Linked DNA regions of Macaca fascicularis. The protein of the gene in region 1 purifies or fractionates together with the protein of each later gene. This does not show direct contact. Links are inferred from orthologs where the notes say so. Each region holds a gene or a part of one and is shown in the gene's direction. Other genes may lie near its edges.

Region 1 (3,820 bases):
AAGAGGCATGCTGGGGGTAACTGGGTTCACAGACTGGAATAGGAGTATGTGTCCCAGGGTCGGATTTTTAAATGTAATACTAAGAAGCAGAGCAGTTCTTGTTGGGGACTAGATTCATGGGAGTGAGGGCTTGAAGTAGAGAGGAAGGGAGCCAGAACGCCAGGGTATTGGATAAGTCATCCGTATGGATGATGAAAGTACTCAGATGGAAAGGAAAAGAATAAGCCAGGGCTAAGTGTTTGGGTGGTTAGCATGGGCGAAGAAGAGGAGGAGAGTTGCTTCAGCCGTGTGGCTTGAGCCTCAGAGGAGAACTGGCCTAGGATCCATGGTGTGGTGGGACGCAGCAACCCCTCCTGTGTCTGCAGGAGGTAGAGTTGGGAACATGAGCAGCCTTGGGGAAAGGCTTGAGAAGGACGAGCTAGGTATGACTGTGGGCAAGGAGGGTGAGGATGTGGGAGATTGTTTCTCAAAGCATAACTTTCCAGTGAGCCTGAGATAGAGACTGTGGGGAGAACAGAGAGAGCTTGGCTCAAGGGAGCAGAAGCTCAGAACTGTGTGCCCACGAGGAACTAGAGGCTGTAAGTTACTGAAGGGCTGAGCTCTTAGGATCGGCCAGAGACAGCTGACTGTGAGTCAGAGGAGAGAAGCAGCCTTCTTTGAATGAGGTGGCTGCAGGGAGTGGCGGTATCTCCTGCCTTTCTTGAGAGATTGTATTTCCCAAGGATTCCAGTCTGAGTTCTATGGAGAGACTGTTCTCTTTGGGGGGAGTCCGCTTAGTTGTAAATTTTATGTATGTGGTGTATCAATACAGTTTAATTGAAAAAATACTCATATAAGAAAATATTAAAAGTCCATCGTTTCCATTTTGCCCTTTACTTTTTACTACCACTTCCTAGAAGAAATCATTATTAACATTTTGGCAAATATTCATCCCGACTTCTTTTTACTGTGTGTTTATGTATATATGCATATGTGTGCATATTAATGTATGTATATAAATGCATATACTTATATATATGTATACACACAATACATATATGTATACATAATCATATACCCATAAATATACATGTGGACCCCCACATGTCTAATTTTCTCATAAACTAACTCATTCTCTGTTATGTGTTCTGCCACTTGAATTTTAGCAATATGTTTTAGAGAACTTGCCATGACAGTAACTGTACAGCTGCCTCACTATTTGAGGATTGATTGTCCTGGCTCTGCACTCTGGTCTAAGTCCATCATTCAGGGTTCTGCAGGACAGATGCTCACGGAGCGGGTAGAGGTCTGGTGTGGTATGTGTTTCTACCTGAACACATCTGCTTGTGTTAGTGGGAAGAAGTCCGAGGGGCTGAACCTTCTCTCTGAAAGCCCAGGGGGAGGGTATGATCCGGCTCAGGTCTCATAAGCCTATATGACCTTCTAACTCAGAATGTCCCTAAGTGGGGCCCTGTAGGCATATGTACGGCATGTGTTATACAGAGTACATTCTTACTAGCATTCTTAGGAGCCTGTCTCATCCAAGTAATAAACCAGGAGAGATGCTTTTCTTTCTTCCTTCCAACCCAGCTTTGGTGGAGAAGAAACGCTTGACTTCTGTGCATATGCGCCAGCTGTGGTCTGCAGCATTCAGTGCAGGGCAGAGCATCCACTTTGGGGCCATGCTAGAGCTGAGTGTGCTGTGCTGGTGTGCCTTCCAGCTTACCTCGGGGACACATCCTGGTACAACGTAGGGAGTGGAGAAAGGACCTGCACTTTTGGGATATTATGCTTTGCCCCCTATCCGTGTGCTCCTAATGTGACTGAGAATGTTGTCAGAATGCCGCAGCTCAGCTCTTCCAAATGTAATAGCTTTTGTCTTTAGATTCTGGATATTTGTTTAGTTGTTTTATTGCTGTTAATGTGGGTGGTTTGATTAACATTAAGACTGTATCATGCCTGGTGTCCATGTTTATTTTTGTATATATATATGAATATTCTGGATCAAAAAAAAATAGTTCAACCTGTTTTACCTGTTTCAGGTTTGTGGATACCGGATAAAGCTTCACTTTGATGGGTATTCTGATTGCTATGACTTCTGGGTGAATGCAGACGCTCTGGATATCCACCCAGTTGGGTGGTGTGAGAAAACTGGCCACAAACTCCATCCTCCAAAAGGTTTTGTCACTTTTTGTTTCATATTTTAAATTCAGTACAAACTCATTTTCTTACATGCTACATTAAAATTGTTAAGAATTCGGACTTCATGAAAATTCAGATAGGCGCAAATTTAACCTTATTGTTCATGATGAAACCACATTTATTAAAGTAAAATAAATAAAAGTGTACTCCAACTTAAGAAAATAAAGTATGTTCATATGCTTATTTTCATGTAAAATAACATTTGCATGATACTCAACTTTGGCTGCAAATAATGTTTACCTGCAAATTTCTGTTATTAAATACATATATCTTTGAAAAAACTGATTTGAAAAATTAGTTTAAATTAGTTTACATAACTAAGTTTAGTGTAAACTGGTTTAAACTAATTTTTCAAATCAGTTTTTCATTATATAGAAAATCCTGAGAAATTATGCATGACCGTTTAGATCTTAATATTTAGGAGATTGGCAAGAAGACTATAACACTAAAAATTGGCTTAGGTGGGGGGTTGAACTCATAGCAATTACTTTTCTTCTATTTGAGTTCTTTATGTTATAGTCCCCCAGTGATCTTCCTATTTCATGTTTACATCAAAGTTCCAGAATAAAAGATATCATCTTTTTCACTGTCTCCCTAAAGTATTCTTTAATTTTTTTTTTTTTGAGATGGAGTCTTGCTCTGTCACCAGATTGGAGTGCTGTGGTGTGATACTGGCTCACTGCAGCCACTGCCTCCCAGGTTCAAGCGATTCTCCTACCTCAGCCTCCCGAGTAGCGGGGATTACAGGCACCTGCCATCATGCCTGGCTAATTTTTGTGTTTTTATTAGAGCAAGAGCTTCACCATGTTGGCCAGGCTGGTCTCAAACTTCTGGCCTCAAGTGATCTGCCCACCTCAGCCTCCCGAAGTGTTGGGATTACAGGTGTAAGCCACCGTGCTCAGCCATATTTAGTAATATCTTATTCCTTTCTTTTTCAGTCATTACATTTATTTTTGTTTATGTCAAAAATTAAGGTTACTAGGTTGATATTTTTGGCCTATCTCAGGACTTCAGTGCATTAGCCATCCCTTTAAGTGAAAAAATAATGGCAGAGTGGTATTTTCAGATAGCTGAAGGATTAAACAAAATCGCATAGAAAAGATGAGGGTGCGAAAGAAAATCTGTAAGCCTTTTCACGAATTGATCTTTTATATATGGTAAATTATTAGCTGTTTTTTTCATGCTGCCTTCTGGACTTTAATGAATGTAAAAGAAAGCATATTCGCAGATAAAATAAGATGCTCAATTTCCTTTTTAAAAGAAATGTTAACTTCAATGAAATTGTAAAAATTAAGGGAGGACATTTCCCTTACTGTAATTTGCCAGCATCCTTACTTCATAAACCTTTAATTGTCCTTTTTGAAGTGATAGGCCAAAAAGATTTTACCTGTTTCATTTCTATTATTTCCAACTTCCCACTTGTTCCTATAAGTTAGTCTTCCCAAAATAGACGAGGTGAGAGAAAAATAAAGAATTTTGACTATTCTAGTTCAGCATCTATACTGCTGAGGAATTCTACCCAAATACTGGTAGAAATACCCTGATAATAAGTGCCCTGGGTATAATACGTATTTGTTTCCTTATTCCTTTTCTTTATATCCATTACCTTTCATTCAGAATTAGAAAATAATAATACAGT
Region 2 (4,352 bases), on another chromosome or scaffold:
ATTTCAGGATCTCCAAAGTTATTTCAGCATATCCCATAATGTACTGGATCAGAAGGTCTTGTTTGGTTGCCTCTCTCCCTCACCCCCACACACCATATACACACCCACATATGTACCACACCCACACACAAAGTACACCACATAGTACACACATTACACATACATACTTTATGCTACACACTACACACACAACTTTTTATCAGCAGAGGATTGATGTCAAACATTTTGTTGGAGGGAGTGTGTGAGTACTAGTGTGTGTATATATATATTATATTCACAAGTGTCAGTTTACTACCAAAGTTAGAAACTAGCTGGTAAGTGAAACCTCCTGTTGTCATAATTTAGAGTGTCTTTGTGGCTCACTTTTTATACCACGGGATTAACTTCCTACAACACTTTCTGAAACTTTACTGTTGTGTAACAGGCAAACTTTTGATCACAGCAGGCCAGATGGGAGGGGATGTCCCTTTGTACATGTAGGAAGAGATGCTTGGAAAAACATCACAGAATCCTTTCTCCTGCGGCTGTGTCTAAGGAAGAGCTGGGTGTAACTACAGTCTCTTTGCCTTTTCCCCCTCAAGAGTGGAGAGCTGAACATGCTTTTGTTCTGAGCAGCACTGTCAGGACAACCCCAGCTTCCCAGGACACAGAACTCCCGGTCCAACTCGCTTCCAATTTGGATTTACTGGGAGAATAGTTAAGGAATTTCAGATCAAGTCCAAAAGCATTATGGAATCTGTTAGTGAAAGAGCTCTTTATCTCGGTAAGAGTCCATCATTTTGAGATCAGCACTGGTGAAAGATCCAGATGCCTGACCTGTGCTCAAAAATAGTGCTCAAAAATATTTAATTGGTTCCTAGATTACTATTGTTTGCCTTTTCAAGGGAGCAATGGCAAATATTTGAAATCTTTCTCGGCAGTGATCTTTAAGGAAGTCGAAAATTTCTAATATAATTCCTGGAATAAGTAAAGGACCAATTTTTGACCTTGAAATTCGGGTTCCAAATTTAGATCAAAGTTGATCTTCTAATGTCCTAAAAGATTATTTTTAAAAAGGGAGGCAGGCAACTTTCTCCTCGGATTCTACCTGAATTCTACAGGATATTACAGCAACAGATAACTTTTCCAAGATCTTTCTGGGAAACCTGTGTTCTGTGTCCTGTTTTGAGTGGTTTTGTTGACCATCTTGACCTAAAAGTGTACAAATGTTGATTGATGTTTATTTCAATGAAGAGGCAACCATGTATGTTTTCTGTGTATGTGCAGAACATTTATGGGATGAGATTATTCCCCTGGAAAAGTGGTTTAAGCCAAGCACGGAAACTGTGAGAATGACTAGGGTAATGTAAACAAAAGATCTTGCCCAGCCTCTCTGCTCCACCTCCCAGTTTTCTGATTTGGTATTTAGGATGATGGCGGGAGAGACTATGAATTTTGGGGTGGACATAATGTCTTTCTACTTATATGCAACTAATACAGTACCGGGTACTCATAGATGGTAAGTGTTGGTTGAATTTCTTGAATTATGCTTTTTGTGCAACTGGGATAAACAGTTAAAATTAAACCTCCCAGAACTAATTGTTTTCATTTTGTAGAATAAGGTTTTGTTTGTTTCAGTCTGAATTTTTGCTGGCTTCATTTGGCAGAATAAATGCCAAAATAAAAGAATGTGGGCGTTTTCAGGAGATCTGGTCATCTATTTTGCATCCTCTCTGAAATATGTTACTTCCTGCATAATGAAGTAAAAGGATTTGCTGCTGGGCAGTGCTTTCCTTATTCTCACAAAGAGATTACTTAAAAGCCAGCCCTGGGAACTTTGTCCACCAATCTCTATTAGGAAAAAAAGAGTAACATGGGACCGCAGCTTCCAAGTGTTCTCTGGTTATAGCCCATAAGCACTGGGTTCTCACTCTTATTTTTCCCTCTGGGGAGAAAACGAAATAGTTTGAAACATGACATTCACGCTCAGAACAACAGCTAAGACCTATCATGCAGCAACAATGAAGGGGAGGGAGAAAATAAGAAGCTATTGAGAGAGCTTGTTTTTCTTTGTACAAGACAGGTGCAGGGAGAATTCTGCAGGTTTTGGACTCCTGGCTCATTCTCTTGCACTAATTGTGCTGAAGGTAGTTAGCAAAAGTGAACAGGCACACTGTAGCTTTAAAAAGTCAGCCATGAACCAGAAGGCAGTTGGTGCAGCTTGTGTGTGATTCCTAACGTCATGTTGGCTGAGAGCCAGCCTGGTTTTATTTCACTGTGTCAAATTGTACCTCCTTATTGAATTCCTTTGCCAGCCTACTTTGTGAAAGAAAACATTGGGGTTTCTTTGGCTGTTCTTGATAAGCCTATAAAAAATGATATTTTTTAGTTGCTTATAGGTAGGTTTTCTTTTTACTCTTCCACAAAAAAAGAAAATAATAGTAATAATAATAAGACAATGTAGTGTGATGTTGCAGAGTATCATTGTGAGTGTTTTGTTTTGTTTTGTTTTCTGAGATGCTTAGAAAATGGTGAATGTGTAACAGTTTCCAACTGAAGTGAAATCATATTCTGTTAGCATGGAGCAGCAGCACTATCTTCCTGTCTACTCTATAACGGTGTGTGAATGTATGCTAATATCTATCTATATATTAAATGTTGGATTTCTCTATCAGTGATCTAAGTGGTTTAGCAACTGGAAGTTTGTGTGTATGTGTGTGTTTCAGGAGTGAAAATTATCCCACACTTACAGTGTTATTTGTTAATCATCTACTTCTCTAACAGTGATAAAATCTTGCGAATATACTAAATGATGCACTTGCCATGTCAGAGTAATCCCTAGAGAAGGAGTGCCGAAGTATAAAGTGATTTGAGTGGAAATGTATTTAATTTATGGCTTCAACTGAATAAGAGCAAACACGTTTCGGGACTGTTGCTTCCGTTTTTTTTTTTTTTTTTTTTTTTTCTTAAAGCAGTTTTGTTCGTAGCTTTTTCATTTTGCTAATTGCATATTAATTGTGGAAGGCTTTTAATTTTTCACAGCCCTCATCCTACTAAACAAAAAGACAGAATGATGGATGCTACAATATCTCCTTAAATGTTCTGATGATTTTTCATAAATCTAATGAGCTACCTACTCTTTCTTACACACACACACACACACACACACACACACACACACACACACACACCCCAGCACCACCTTTCTGTGCTAAGGGCTATCTGGCATTTTTTGTGAGCTTCCTGCTTTACCACAGCATGGCCATCTCACAGACGGGTTTTTGAGGCTTTCGTTGAGAATGTGAGGTAGGGGAATACTTACTGACAAAAGCTTTAAGTGTCCTTCTGCATTGCAATGAAAAAATCTAGGAGCAAGGGGGAGTGGACCAAAAAAACAAATGCAATAAGAAAAAACAAATCACAGCCCATAATGGGAGGGGGGAAGGAAAAGGGGGATTGTTTTTCTCTACTTTGACTCATTTATGAGTTGCAGTGTCTTATGTGAGAGCTAGGCACCCAGGAGAAGCTGTGCCAGTTCACACAGCACTTGTTTTCAACAAGGATTCAATTTCATTTGCAAATGCTTATTGTCAAGGCAGGGAGTGCCAGTACAGATGAAAGCACCCCAATCCGTCTCCTCCAGTTCTTTAGGTTTAATCACATCTCTCCAATCGCCGAGGGAACTGGAGATTTAAACAAACATACGTGAACTGGTGTGAAGCTGTAAAAGGGACCATTATGTTTCCGATTCAGAATATATATTCTTCTCTCACTTTCTAAGAATTAAACACAAGCTTTTCTCCCTTATTGATTAGTTGCTGAAGTAAAGGAACCCTGCAGCCTTCCCATGCTATCTGTTGACATGGAAAACAAGGAAAATGGCTCTGTCGGTGTAAAAAAGTAAGTGAAGCTGGCTTCTGAGTTCTGCTTCTGCAAACAACAGAGGGACTTGGTTTCTATTTTAGTACTTCTTGCTTATCTACTACAATACACAGTTCGGAGGTCGCCTTGGTTTGTCTACATTGGCCAGCAACCTCCCTTCTCCCCCCTACCCCAGTTACCTTTTTCCGTATTCCATTTCTAAGACAGAGATGACTCAGACATCAAAATATATATGAAAGGTTTGTGTATCAGGCTTTGGAACAAGGATGGTTGAGGATTTCAGCCCTGCATTCTGTATATTGAAACAAAAACTCCAAGCAGAGACTCTTCCGTAGACAACACAGAATGAGGGCAGAAAATTGAGTTCGAATTTTTTTTTTTTTTTTTTTTTTGAGATGCAGTCACCTCTAACTCTGAAAACTAAGAGCTATAGTGCAAGAAGGGAAAAAGCTTCAGTAAGAATATAGAATATAGTTTAACAACTTCTCCGT

What was found.
Region 2: the proteins of L3MBTL3 (region 1) and SAMD13 purify together in Homo sapiens (affinity purification with mass spectrometry; 3 studies listed by BioGRID and IntAct, counting the BioPlex papers as one, with this or other methods). This does not show direct contact. The link is inferred for Macaca fascicularis from reciprocal best matches to the Homo sapiens genes L3MBTL3 and SAMD13.

The regions. Positions count from the first base shown.
Region 1 is NC_088378.1:34,057,837-34,061,656, forward strand, and holds part of L3MBTL3 (lethal(3)malignant brain tumor-like protein 3), read left to right. Parts: intron 1-2,021; coding exon 2,022-2,157; intron 2,158-3,820. UniProt on the Homo sapiens protein: Is a negative regulator of Notch target genes expression, required for RBPJ-mediated transcriptional repression. It recruits KDM1A to Notch-responsive elements and promotes KDM1A-mediated H3K4me demethylation.
Region 2 is NC_088375.1:150,346,541-150,350,892, reverse strand, and holds the start of SAMD13 (sterile alpha motif domain-containing protein 13), read left to right. Parts: upstream 1-1,394; 5' UTR 1,395-1,409; coding exon of another isoform or gene 1,410-1,464; coding exon 1,465-1,498; intron 1,499-2,276; exon of another isoform or gene 2,277-2,378; intron 2,379-2,514; exon of another isoform or gene 2,515-2,597; intron 2,598-3,203; exon of another isoform or gene 3,204-3,285; intron 3,286-3,794; coding exon 3,795-3,879; intron 3,880-4,352.